Drosophila melanogaster: one gene and its partner. The protein of the gene in region 2 interacts with the protein of the main gene of each other region in a pairwise test. Each region holds a gene or a part of one and is shown on either strand. Other genes may lie near its edges.

What was found.
Region 1: the proteins of CG34267 (region 2) and 140up interact in a two-hybrid assay, tested with the Drosophila melanogaster proteins (one large-scale study listed by BioGRID).

The regions. Positions count from the first base shown.
Region 1 is NT_033777.3:14,121,238-14,129,005, forward strand, and holds 140up (upstream of RpII140), read right to left. Parts: upstream 4,312-7,768; 5' UTR 4,240-4,311; coding exon 4,067-4,239; intron 4,004-4,066; coding exon 3,838-4,003; intron 3,777-3,837; coding exon 3,688-3,776; intron 3,626-3,687; coding exon 3,268-3,625; 3' UTR 2,951-3,267; downstream 1-2,950. Other genes in the region: Abi (abelson interacting protein), read right to left, coding at 1-232, 509-864; twf (twinfilin), read left to right, coding at 1,475-1,499, 1,559-1,636, 1,738-2,513, 2,798-2,950; Polr2B (RNA polymerase II subunit B), read left to right, coding at 4,710-4,731, 4,859-7,027, 7,103-7,768. UniProt on the Drosophila melanogaster protein: Chaperone protein involved in the assembly of the mitochondrial NADH:ubiquinone oxidoreductase complex (complex I). Essential for viability.
Region 2 is NT_037436.4:497,991-504,825, forward strand, and holds CG34267 (uncharacterized protein), read right to left. Parts: upstream 2,462-6,835; 5' UTR 2,384-2,461; coding exon 2,372-2,383; intron 2,309-2,371; coding exon 2,087-2,308; 3' UTR 2,024-2,086; downstream 1-2,023. Other genes in the region: CG34268 (uncharacterized protein), read left to right, coding at 3,035-3,046, 3,110-3,349.

The DNA.
Region 1 (7,768 bases), on a different chromosome or scaffold from region 2:
CGGAGGTCCCACCGACGGCGGCAATAAGGATTGCACGGACCCATGGCTGGAGCCCCGATGTTTCTGTCGCACCTGCGAGTGCTGGGCCGAGTTAATGCCGTGGCCAATCTCGTCCAACATCGAGTAGTCGATGGGCTTGCGCACATACTTGATGGGCTTCTCCGGATTGATGGGCGCCACGATCTTAAACTGGCGCGAGCTCACCTTGTTAGCCGTAAGCACGCCAATCTCTCTGAGAAAAGACAATGAAGATAATCAAAAATAATTAATACAAATAAAGTGAATTGAAAAAACTAAATAGTTATGTAGGAAAAGAATGAAGAAAGAGACGTTCAGTCTTATCAGCACGTCTGACGACGCATGTATGAATGTACATTTCTTCTCTATGAAGCTTTTATCACCGATGAGTCGTACTTACAGACAAAAATGTTCATTCCGTATTCTTTGTCGTTTTAAAATATGCATATCCCCTTTTCCTATTCTAGTTTAAGCAATTTGTTGTTCTTACCTCCTGGCCACCTTCTCCTTGTGGATATGCACCGTCTGGGCGATGTGGTTCATCTGGGACTCCATCTCGCCGAGCTGCTGGGCCTGAAGCTCGAGGAGCTGCATGTAGCTATAGGCGAGCGTGTTAATCTGGTAGGCCACGCTGGCCAGCGACTGGGTGGTGTAGTTCTTGGTGGCCTCCAGGGCCGCCTTCTTGTTGTCCGCGCGGTAGTAGGTGTCCTCGCAGTAGTCGGCCACCCGCTCCAGGTTCGTGTAGCTGTCCCGCAGACTCTGGCGGCCATCGGGGATCTCGGTGCGTATCAGAGAGGCTAGTTCGTCCATGATGTTCTCGCTGGCCATGGGGGTTTCGGTCAACATGGGTGTGGATGCTGCGGGCAAACGGGAAACGAAAACCCAATTAAATTCCTCGCTTTTCCGCACTTTTCACGCCCGTAAACATTTGGGGCGTGGGCTGGCCTCTGCCGACGTCGACGCCCAGCTGCTCCAGTTGATCGCTGGAGCGGTTTAATCGGACGAATCTCGCGTGCACTCACTTTATTGACTATGCGATTGCACAACAGATGCTTTTCCGGGCTAGTTGCTACGTTTTAAATGCAGTTAAATGCAGTTTTTCATTACATTTTCCGTGAAAAAAGAAAGAACGCTGGCCTGTGCTGCAAAGTACTGGAGCTTGAAGAATTTTTCAACACTGTATCAGTGCAGACACATTTGGTATTATTTTTGAAATGTATGTTCTATAAAACAGAGTGTTAAAAATTTTCCCAAAATTTAGTTATAAAAATAGCATTACAGTATCTTTTTAATTAATAATTCTTTTTTTTTTACACATTTAAAGCCGCTTTGAAGTGATTGCCAATCAGAATCGGTACATATTTCCCGGTTTAGTATTTCCCTACTCGCGCTTTGCGGTCACACTGGTTGTGAGTAATATATTTTTTCGGCAATATTAATTTTAGCTGTTGTCCAAATGTCTCACCAAACGGGTATCCGAGGTTTGTTATCTTTGGGAACCACCTAATCCGCATCCTTAGAACACCCTTTGTATTTTCAGCCAACGAGCAGCTGGCCAAGGTGTTCGGCAAAGCGAAGAATGGTAAATTTCGCGTGATAAAAGTTTCGATCGAGAATGGTGAGTGGATTTAATCCAGAAACGTATATACACAAGATATATACTAGGCATACGATTTGATAACGAACCCGCATCCGTTTTCACCCCGCCCCAAATTACAGAGCAGCTTAGTTGCGGCGCCACGGCGGAGACGAAAAAGGATTGGGAGCGCGACTACGACAAGCTTATAGGTCCCCTACTGGAAAAGGATGTGCCCTGCTATATTCTCTATCGCCTGGACGCCAAGATCCCGCTGGGCTACAGTTGGCTACTTATCAGCTGGACGCCGGACACGGCCAGCATCCGACAGAAGATGGTATACGCTTCCACGAAGGCCACGTTGAAAACGGAGTTCGGATCAGCATACATCACAGAGGAGCTGCATGCCACCACTCTGGATGAGTGCACGCTGGAGGGCTATCGCCGGCACAAGCAGGATTTCGCAGCCCCAGCTCCATTGACCAGCAGGGAGGAGGAGCTGAAAGAGCTGCGAAAGACAGAGGTTCACACTGAGATCAATACGAATACGCGGCACCAAACTCTGGGTGGGATCAATTGCCCGCTGAGCGAGGCAACCGTGGCTGCCGTTCAGGATTTGGTGCGCGGCAAGCACGACTACCTTCAGTTCCGCATCGATCTGGAGGAGGAACAGATCCATGTTTCGCGTGCGGCCAAAGTGGAGCTCGCCGATCTGCCGAAGCAAGTGCCCGAGGATCATGCACGATACCACCTCTTCCTGTTTCGGCACACGCACGAGGGCGACTACTTTGAGTCGTACGTGTTCGTCTACTCCATGCCTGGATATTCCTGCTCCGTGCGCGAGCGCATGATGTACTCAAGCTGTAAGGCTCCTTTTCTCGACGAGCTCGCGGCCCTTGGCGTGGAGGTTGTTAAGAAGGTGAGTTGATATGAATGCGAGTGGGTGTGGCTGCGCTAATAGCACTAAAGATTAGGGCTATAAAAAGCAAAAGCAGGGTATATATTGTTTGTGATTTATTTATTGCTTTCAAATCGCCACATTCACTATACTTTTGATTCACGATCTCTAGAAATATTTTGAATCATAATTAGGGCGAATGTCTCACTTTTCACTTGAAATAGAAATCTGTAAATCATAAATAATGAGTAATTTTAAATCATACTAAATCTGATTCATGTTTCTAACAACGTTTTACATTTCAGCTTGAAATCGACAGCGGCAGCGAGCTGACCGAAGCCTTCTTGCAGGACGAGCTGCACCCAAAGAAGATTCTACACCGACCGGCTTTTGCCAAGCCCAAGGGGCCACCAAACCGAGGCGCCAAGCGCCTCACGCGTCCCACCGCAGAGGACTAAGTCTGAATCCCGATCCCACCGAGTCAATTCTGTTTATCGCCCTTCTACGTACTGTTTCCTAGCAGAGCATTTAATTTATTGTATCCAATCGTTTATTTCTTTTGTGTTGTGTCTATCCCGTGTCTATATGTGTCCGTACGTCAGTCGATATCTTTAGAGGCACTAGGCATCAACTGAAACATCGCATAGCAGCCGCCAAAGTGGGCTTCCTTAAATGTATTCTTGTCTATGTAACTTTAGATGGACATATATGCAATTTATTTAAATTAAAAAAAGTAACTAAGTTCACACTGGCGTCTTCTTTAAGTCCTCAGGACTCACTTGATCGTGTCCAGCGATACATGTTCGGATGTTTTCTCGTCGTGGGCCTTGAAAAGCTCTGGGTTTTCGTCCTCTGTCAGTTTTTTGAACGCCTGTTGAATGTTTTCGTCGCGATCGAGTCGCCATTTGTACTGCCAGTAGCGAACCTCTTCCATCGAGGTCCCTGATGCTTTCATCAGCAGCAGCGACGTCACACCAGCCACGCCGCCCAAGAAACCTCCAATGATTCCACCTGCCGCCATGCCCCGCAGACCAAGACTCACTTTGTAAAGCGAGCCGGTGATGGAACCAGCGGCCAAGTATTCGTAGATTGAGGATTTTCCACGGTACACCGACATACAAGTGATGATGCCGCTGTAAGGAACACATTTTTGTATCACACAGATACAGATTTGAATTCGTGTTGCTGAACTTACAAGTAGGATGTGGTAAAAAGTCCCACTCGCCAGCCCCATTTGAAGCCGCCTTTGGCAAAGTTGACTGTGAATTGATCTTGCAGCTTTTTCTGTAATTATGATTAAAAACTTGATTATAACATATTTAAATGATAATACGTAGATACCTACCTTGGCATCAAAGTGCGATTTAAATGCTGTGGCCTGGTTGTTCTCCATGAAATTCATGTAGGCCACGCGCGATTGTGTAACTCCGCCGTAAATAGCTCCAATAAGGAATCCTAGGAAGCCGGCCTGGTAAACCGAGTTAAGCTCGGAGGATATGCTGCCAAACTCGCTATTTAAATGTTTATGTACGGTCAGTAGATTTTAGTATAAATGGAATTCTTAGTTTTCCTACTCGATTGTAAACATTTGCTTGAGGCGCTCCAGTCCTGTTTCCTCTGGTGGTTTACTGGCCAGAAAGGCCTTGTATGTTTTGTTTTCCTTATCGACTATTTCATCTGCGGCGCCTTCGAATGTTGGCAGGATGCCTGCGATCAGAAACCGGCGTCCTTTCCACAGAAAATTCATTTTTTAAGCGTGTTAAATAACCAAGTAAAACGAGTACAACAATCTCAGCTGTTTGCCGGTCTGTTAGTGTTGGAAAGTGTGCGTGTCATTGGTGTTGGCAAACTCTCGGTTTAATTGTTTTTAATTTAAATGCGTTTGTTATTAATAAAATTATATTATTATAATAATTTAAGTTACATACTCATTTAGTTGTTCATATATTTTTTTCTTATATCATTCACACTTTTAAATTTATTTTGTTGCCAAAAACAATTTTATTGTGTTTACAAGTATTTGCTATAACTTTATGAACTGCACCTTGTGCTTTGCTTTTGCCGTTTACCAACACAGCACAACGCCGCTAATCGCGTTGTCGGCAAACATTTGTTGTGAAATTTTCTACGTTTTTACAATTTAATTCATTGCAAATCCAATTTATTGTTATTTACTTGAACGCATAAAGTGCTTCTGCACTTTAGAAAACTGAAATCATGATGTACGACAACGAGGAAGGTGAGTAAAATGAATTGCGAAAATTTGTGCATGCACGTTGGCGTGTACCAAAATTAATATGGCGGCTGGAGCGCTAGGGCTCCGCATTGTTAGCAATGAATTTCAATGGTCAAATAACATCTTGCAGAACTGTACGAGGAGGAGAATGCCGAGGAGATCTCTCACGAGCTGTGGCAGGAAGCCTGCTGGATCGTGATTAACGCGTACTTCGACGAGAAGGGCTTGGTGCGGCAGCAGCTGGACAGTTTCGATGAGTTCATTCAGATGTCGGTGCAGCGCATTGTGGAGGATTCCCCCGCCATTGAGTTGCAGGCGGAAGCGCAGCACACATCCGGAGAGGTGGAAACCCCGCCCAGATTCTCGCTGAAATTCGAGCAAATCTATCTTTCCAAGCCAACACATTGGGAAAAGGATGGTTCGCCCAGTCCTATGATGCCGAACGAGGCCCGCCTGCGAAATCTAACTTACTCCGCTCCTCTCTACGTGGACATTACGAAAACCAAGAATGTCGAGGGCCTGGATCCCGTGGAAACGCAGCATCAAAAGACTTTCATAGGCAAGATTCCCATCATGTTGAGATCAACGTACTGTTTGCTATCACAGCTTACTGATCGTGATCTTACGGAGCTGAACGAGTGCCCGTTGGATCCCGGTGGCTACTTCATCATCAACGGCTCCGAGAAGGTGCTAATTGCCCAAGAGAAAATGGCCACCAACACAGTGTACGTGTTCAGCATGAAAGATGGCAAGTATGCCTTTAAGACTGAGATTCGGTCGTGTTTGGAGCACAGTTCCAGACCCACGTCTACACTGTGGGTAAACATGATGGCAAGAGGATCGCAAAACATAAAAAAGTCAGCCATTGGTCAGAGGATTATTGCCATCTTACCGTACATCAAACAGGAGATACCCATTATGATTGTGTTTCGAGCATTGGGCTTCGTGGCCGATCGCGATATTCTGGAGCATATCATCTATGACTTCGACGATCCCGAGATGATGGAAATGGTGAAACCTTCTCTGGACGAGGCTTTTGTAGTCCAAGAGCAGAATGTTGCCTTGAATTTCATTGGAGCTAGAGGAGCACGTCCCGGAGTCACAAAAGACAAGCGTATAAAGTACGCTAAGGAAATTTTGCAAAAGGAAATGCTGCCCCACGTTGGAGTATCCGATTTCTGCGAGACCAAGAAGGCATACTTTTTGGGCTACATGGTTCACCGGCTGCTCTTAGCCTCTTTGGGCAGGAGAGAACTCGATGATCGAGATCACTATGGAAACAAGCGACTTGATCTCGCTGGACCCCTCCTGGCCTTCCTCTTCCGTGGTCTGTTCAAAAACCTGATGAAAGAGGTGCGCATGTACACACAGAAGTTCATCGATCGCGGAAAGGACTTCAACCTTGAACTGGCCATCAAGACTAATATTATTACTGATGGTTTAAGGTATTCCTTGGCCACTGGCAATTGGGGCGACCAGAAGAAGGCGCATCAGGCGAGAGCCGGTGTCTCCCAGGTGTTGAATCGCTTGACCTTCGCCTCTACTCTTTCCCATTTGCGGCGTGTGAATTCGCCAATTGGCAGAGACGGTAAACTGGCCAAACCTCGTCAGTTGCACAATACTCTTTGGGGTATGTTGTGTCCCGCTGAAACTCCTGAGGGAGCAGCTGTTGGTCTGGTGAAGAACCTGGCGCTCATGGCTTACATTTCTGTGGGATCACAACCTTCTCCCATTCTGGAGTTCTTGGAGGAGTGGTCTATGGAAAACCTGGAGGAAATTGCTCCTTCTGCCATCGCTGATGCTACAAAGATCTTTGTGAACGGCTGCTGGGTGGGCATACATCGTGATCCTGAGCAGCTCATGGCAACGCTTCGTAAGTTGCGTCGCCAGATGGATATCATCGTGTCAGAGGTGTCTATGATTCGAGACATTCGAGATCGTGAGATCCGAATCTATACAGATGCTGGTCGCATTTGTCGGCCACTTCTCATCGTGGAAAACGGATCGCTGCTGCTTAAAAAGACTCACGTGGAGATGTTAAAGGAGCGAGACTACAACAACTACAGTTGGCAGGTCCTTGTAGCCTCTGGAGTGGTGGAGTACATTGATACCCTTGAGGAGGAAACGGTCATGATCGCTATGTCTCCCTACGATCTGAAGCAGGACAAGGATTATGCTTATTGTACCACATACACACATTGTGAGATCCATCCAGCCATGATCCTGGGCGTGTGCGCGTCCATTATTCCCTTCCCCGATCACAATCAGAGTCCGCGTAACACCTATCAAAGCGCTATGGGTAAGTTTATGAGTATTCATTACTGTTCTACTTGAAATACTAATCCATTTATAACGTTTTTTTCATCTTTTATAGGTAAGCAAGCTATGGGCGTTTATATTACCAACTTCCACGTGCGTATGGACACACTAGCCCACGTACTTTACTATCCGATGAAGCCACTTGTGACCACACGTTCCATGGAGTACCTGCGTTTCCGAGAACTACCAGCTGGCATCAATTCAATCGTGGCTATTCTCTGCTACACTGGCTACAACCAGGAGGATTCTGTCATTCTGAATGCATCCGCTGTGGAGCGTGGATTCTTCCGCTCTGTGTTCTACCGATCATACAAGGATTCGGAGAACAAACGTGTCGGTGATCAGGAAGAGAACTTCGAGAAGCCTCATCGCGGCACCTGCCAAGGAATGAGAAATGCTCACTACGACAAGTTAGACGATGATGGAATTATTGCCCCAGGAATTCGTGTATCTGGCGACGATGTGGTTATTGGCAAGACCATTACCCTTCCTGAAAACGACGACGAACTGGACAGCAACACGAAGCGTTTCTCCAAACGAGATGCCTCCACTTTCCTGCGAAACTCTGAGACGGGTATTGTGGACCAGGTGATGCTTACGCTCAACAGCGAGGGCTACAAGTTCTGCAAGATTCGAGTGCGCTCGGTGCGTATTCCGCAGATCGGCGATAAGTTCGCTTCTCGTCACGGACAAAAGGGAACGTGCGGCATCCAGTACCGTC
Region 2 (6,835 bases):
AAAGCAAAACTCAGATGAGGAAAACTGGGGGAGCAGAAAAAAGGAAAACTTTTACCACAAATCGGATTTCCTGCATCGATTTGTGGTCTTCGCACGCGCCTCGAACTGAAAACTAATGCATAAAGTAGATCATAGAGCAACGACTGCCTTTTAAAAGATCTCATCTCTTCGAAACGAGAGCGACCAGAATCCCAGCTCGATATATAAGAATCAAAGACAACGCACAACACGAATGCCAGAGATATTTCCCAAGGAAATAGAAGAGATTCTTGTGCTGGCCCCGCTTTTCCAAGAAGCCATCCAAAGCCAGAAGAAGGAAACGTGTGCGAGGCTGACAAGTTTTTCCCTTATTTGCTATTTGTCGGCCGCGCCACAAGCATATGGATGACATCGACGTTAAGTCCAGTTTGCCAGGCCGGAGTGCTCTTAAAGACTTTGTGGAGAAAGATTGGAAAATCAATCACATATCTGACTGAGAGATGGGGAGGAAAATTCGCTCAGGTTTTGGCTTTAAGTTTTACTCAATGGAAGTAAAATAAGTGATGAATGCTATTGAACTTTTCAAAAACTTTAATAGTTAAAACAGGATCATGATCTCATCGAACTCGTTCATAGTCCTTCAACATCCATTAAAGTGCGAACTATTAAAGTCAAAAGCTGCCTGTAACTTATTCTATTTATGAGCCCATCTTAACTAGAGAGCCCTGTTATATTCAATGGTTACTGGGTGTGGAGAACAAGTTTCGCCCGAAGTCAACGCCTGATTCCAGCATTCCACCTCCTGACAACGTGCCAAAATAGCCCTGAAGGTTTCTATGGAAGGGCCCAACTCCAAACTAATTGCCTGGGCACGCCTTTAACTTCTTCACAAAATGGGGAAGGGGATCTCATCAAGCGCCAATGCATATTCATAGTCATAACGAGATTTGAGGTCTGCCATGTTCACACAATCTTCCTCTTCTCCGCCGACTTGAGACATAACTCATAACTGCACAATTACCTGATTATTTTAATTAGCCTAAAAATAAAATTAAAATAAAAAAGTTGAGCAAGTGCAGGAAAAAATTGAGGTGACAACACATAGGAAATGTCTAAATATACGAACAAACGCTGGCGATAGCATAAATCACCGGCGAGGGGAAACAGGGAAACTGTAACTGCAAACAAGTTAATGAATGTATCTGTGGGATACATCTGCATGGAGAGAAAGACTCGACAAATAGAGTTGGCCGAAAAGCAAAAGGCGGCTATAAAAAGCGTTAACAAGACAACAACAGCAATTGGCGAACAATAAAATACACTTAGCAGCCGAAGAAGAAGCGAATAACCACTAAATTGCTGTTAACAATTCTTGGAGTGCCCAGCCAAGCCAGTCAGCAAAGGCAAATACATTTTTCTGTCTGCCAAAAGTGGGTCAGCAAGAAAAGCCTCCCCCTTTCCATTTTATAGAAGTCTTCAATGCCAGCCGCAAGCGTTTTCATCAGCCAACTCTGCAAACGCAAACTCTTTCTCTCGCGTGTTAGTTAGATTTTAACTACCGTTTAAGAAGTATCGTACGGCTACTCTCAACTCTTCGCAACTGAACTCCACTCCGCTCCGCTCCTCTTGGCGTCCATTAATCACCTTCAGTCGGTGCAAAGAGTCAATTCACCAGCGAACAGCCTGCCAAATGTGTTCCACGCAACTGCTCAATCTCCGTATCTTTTGGGTGCCTGGAACGAGGCGCACATTTGGCTTTTATCACTCGATCCGCACCAAATAAACTACAAAGCCCCTAACGCGAAAACAGAGAAAAACGTATTTGTGTTCCAGATTTTGGCGCATTTACGGCTTGCGTAAAAATTTCCGATCGGACCAGACCGAAGAAAATTCTGTTGCAGCTCTTAATGGGTTGTTGGATACAAAAACTCGGCGGGACATGAGAAAATAATCCGCACACACTGCAAATACTGCGAATAAATCACAGAAGTTGTAAACTCATTTGAAGTGCATTTGATTTGAGACAAGTAAGTCAAATATGATTCCTTTTACAAGCATAAACATTTTATTTATTCCCGTGCGATATCGATTGAGCTCTTTCCAAAATTTAACCGTGGTAGATGTGGTGTCCATAGGTGGGAACAGCGTAGGACTTCAGCACAGGGACATGCTGAACCACTGGGACATTCTTCACCACCGGAACGTGCTGCACCACTGGAACAGATTTCACCACGGGCACCACTTGGGCTACAGGAACCACACCGTAGGAGGGCTCAATGTAACCAGGAGCAGCAAAAGCCATTGCTACCAGGGCGAAGATCACAGCGATCTAAGGAGATATTTTGTAATATGAAAAATCACAAGGATTTACTTTATAATTTCGTGAACTTACAATGCGGAACATTTTGGTATTTTCTTAGTAATTTACAAACTTGACTTGGAGATATTGTCACTTGGATGCTTGTAGGACGACTGGTGATGCTGACCAATGGATCAGTTACTTTATATAGCCAAAAATCACTTCAATAACAACTTCTAAATGGGCAAACGTGTTTGGCCATAATTCTTCTGTTTAATTGAGAGAATGGATTTATCAGTTGACCCAAAGGTGCCTCATATAGGTCTTTTTTTGTGGACATGACCTTGGTTCTTGGTGATCATCACAAACGCGTGAAGACGATCGATATAATGACAATGGTCTTGGAAGTAAACAATAATAAGCACACGGATCTAAAAACAGCAAACAATTGAGAAGTCATTGAATGGGGATTATGTCCAAAGGTTAAGCAATAACGACCGATAACGGGAAGTTCGCCGCTGGAGATGGTTTCATACCAAATAGAATGCGCATTATTCGAAGATACCAAATTTAAGATAATTAAACTGGTTTGGCGCGTGGCGTTCGAACAGAAGTCATTTGTGGGCTATTTTCGGCTGAGGTGCTAACTACTATATATAATGATTCCACGGATGGTCAATCAACAACAGTCGTCCGGCTAACACAAACGTTCGATAACCACAAGTTAAAGTTTTTAACTCACAACAAAATACCAAAATGTTCCGCATTGTAAGTTCACGAAATTATAAAGTAAATCCTTAGGATTTTTCATATTACAAAATATCTCCTTAGATCGCTGTAATCTTCGCCCTGGTAGCAATGGCTTTTGCTGCTCCTGGTTACATTGAGCCCTCCTACGGAGTGGTTCCTGTGGCCCAGGTGGTGCCCGTGGTGAAATCTGTTCCGGTGGTGAAGCATGTTCCAGTGGTGCAGCATGTTCCGGTGGTGAAAAATGTCCCAGTGGTTCAGCATGTCCCTGTGCTGAAGTCCTACGCTGTTCCCACCTATGGACACCACATCTACCATGGTTAAATTATTGTAGCACAACCCCATTAGAAATTGACCCGACATAAATAAATTGCCAACCAAATCGAACTTATCTTTATTTTCTGGTATAGAGCGAGGATAAACTTTTGGGTCATGCCATCGGGACTGGCTTAATTTTTATACTTACAATTAAATGATGCATGTTTTTTCCTACATCAAGGAAATAATTCTCGTAAAAATTACGTACCCAACACCCTTTCGTGGTCAGCACTTTCCATTTTACACATTTTATAGCAACTAAAGTTGTCCGCAGACCCCAGTGGTTTCCATGGCTGACTGATTATTTTATGGGACATTTTGTAAAATTTAATTTCACCTCGCTCATTTTGTTATTTGCGAATAGTCACACATAAAGTCGTTAACAAGGCGGCAAGCTTCCAGGGGAAATTTCTTCATTAATCAGCGGAATAAAGTGACGCCTCTAAACTGCAGCTGCATCTTCTCCACCTCCCCCCCTCCCACCACCCCTTACCCGACAGACGTTGCCATTAAAACCCAATCCCAGCTCGTCTTTAATTTGAGCCAATTAAAGTGGCGACAAAGCAAAGCCTTACAGCCCGCTTCAAACACTCTGAGCCAGCCGCCTTTCCCTTTGGCTTTTTCCCCGGTTGCGGTTCGATCTCGTGTCGATGATGAACCTGAATGGATCGTACATTAATTTTTCATTGTTTTTTATTTGGGGCTTTATTCGGGTTATTAAATCGCTGGCTAGAAAAACTCTCAAGCGATTTGGTAAAACAAAAAAAAAAAATAACATCGAAATAAGCAGACAAAAATATAAAAATAAATTGTGTTCGAAAGTCAATTTTGTGAACAGGCTTTTTGGGCCTTTTTTGTGGCAGGTTTTGTTTTTTCTATTGCCAAAAGATTTATTGTTAGCGTTTTCTTCTTAATTTTCCCCACATTTCATTTCGGTTTCGATTTTCAGTTTCAGCTTTGTTTTTCAGCCTGCTGCTACCATTCAGGTTCCACTTCCTTTTCAGTTTAAAGTAAATTTCTCGGCCAGAGTTGGGCAATTTTATTACTCTATTAGGGGGAAAAAATAGTAATTTGCTGCTCGATTATGACGAAATCATTTGATCCGCTTCACATGTGACGTCGTCTTTTTGTTGGGCCTGTCTCTCCTTTTGTGTGGTTTCTTTTTTGTCTGTGGTAATGACTTCATCGTCGCCCAGCTACCCAATCCTATCCTATCCGCAGCTCATTTGATAAATTATCCAACAGTTTGTAATAATATTTTTCGTAGCCGCTCAGGGGGAGTTGCCTTCGATGCTTTTGTTTTCATTTTGTTAATTATCCGCTATAATTGTTAATTTAAATTATGAAGGAAAGTGAAACTCAATTGAACTTGAGAGACCCCCCCCCCCCCCCCTTCAGTCCATCTCTATCTCGTGTGTTATTCTCTTGTGGATTTGGGCGTGTTTCCGATCGATGAAGCAGAGAAATGTTTTTCGATCGTATTGGATTTGGAGTTAGATTCGCCCCAGTCAGCCGTTTTAGCCGTATTAACAAATTGTTTGTTTCAATGTTTCGATAATAGTGTAATCAAGTTACAAATAGCGTAGCTCTTTTTAGTGCAATTTCAAACACTCGTAGCTGCTTTTAGTACCTCGCGACCTTTAATCAACACCTCAACTGCTAAATGACTGCACGTGACTGCACATTACAATTCAGTTAGGCTCAAGTTCAACTGAACTACGCCAAATAAAATGGAAAGTTTATTTAAAGGTTCATTTAACGCGAAAGTTGAACTATAACCGAACCGAACTGGGCAGCAGTCGTAACTGAATTTTAAGTGGTCTTGCACTTAAACTACTTGAACTACTCTCCGACTGGGCTAATTCGGTGGTAAATGTTTTATTGCCGCCCAGCAACTGCAGCTGGCCACTTGGGCCGCATCCGAGTCGAAATTGGAGTCCAGACTGAAGCTGGAGCTGGAGCTGCAGCTAACTTATTGGGCGAAAGGTTACAGTCAGCAATTGTTATGCAAATCTGGCGGAGGGAGATTGCCGCGAACACAATGGACACCCATTCGATAGAATCGGACAAGCGGCCAGCCAGTCCAGGCCAGGCCAGCGGACCAAATCGCAATTCGAAAATCCCCATTCCGAATCCTATCGAGGCGAAACATTCAAACATGAAATTATGACTGCCATAAAGTGGAGCACTTCCTCGACTCCCGCACACAAATCGGAATTGTCAATGCGATTATATGGTCGCAGCGCTTAGCTAATCGCGCGGCCAGACTCCAAATTGCACCACCTTCACTTTTCCTGCGGCTTTTCCAGGGAAGCCACGGCAACCAGGGAAAACAAACTCATTCCCCCCGCTTTATCATGCTGCCTGCTGCTTGTCTTGACCATTTTCGGAGGCCCAAGTTTTGCGGAAAACAAAGACATCCTGTCGTTTCAGGCGACAGGGAACATGAGTGCTTACACCTCGGTTGACCAGAACAGCGAATGCCTAAAACACTTTGCTTGCCCATTAGTTAGTCCATCAGTTCATGTGCTTGTTAAAGAGTTGATCGTCGATTACCATAGGATTGCAACCACTTAGTGGAGAAGGTACAATGTGGTTGTCAGGAATCTTGTATTGAAGTGTTGAAAAATTCAAGTAATTAACTTTGGAGAAACTGAAGTTTCTTGTCAGTTTCTTGTCCTTTCCAAACTTTTTTCCACATAATACAAATAAATTTCAAGCATCGGAAAAATATATAAGGAGATTGCAGCCAGCACCTTGGGGAACCAGCAAAGATCTCAGCTCGTTATGGCCATTGACATTGTCCGGCATCTGACAAATTTTTGGATTTTGCTTCACGGCGATCATCTCTCAATCTCAATTTTGGACCCAATCTCGATCGCCATCTTCCCCGGCTGCCAATCCATTTGGTCTGTGGCCAGTAGCTGTGGGGCTTGATTGCGTCGATCGGTTTGTGTGGAATTGGAATTGGAAGTGGAACTCTAGTTAACAGTTGAGACCTGGACACCGAATGCGTGTCTCCGCCCCCGGGAACTGCAGAAGCAACAACTGCAGCCGCAAACAATTGACAGAGACAAACGCCTAACAACTTATTGGAAATATGTTTAACCATTTTGGGCAATTGACATTTGCTGCCTAGTTCGAAAAGCTCCATCTGCGCGACTCTCTTTTTCCCATCGACAGCGTGACAAAACAATTGTCGTAAATCAGGAGCAGGCAGCCGGAGTTTAAGCCAGCTAAGCTTTTGTCTTGAGCATTTTTCGGCTAACTGCCCACAATGCAATCTTAAGTTTTACAGAGTTTCGTCTGGCCTGCTGTCTTTATTTACTTTCATTTGGCTCGTGGCCGGCTGCGCTTTTTCCTTCGATTTTTGGTGAGAAGGAAGAGCGAATGTGTGCACGGAATTCCATTGAAAAAAGCTTAAAAGGAATTTTCAATTAGCCCAAAAAAATTGAAAATAATTCCTGAATGGGTCAAGAAAGTGGGTAATGA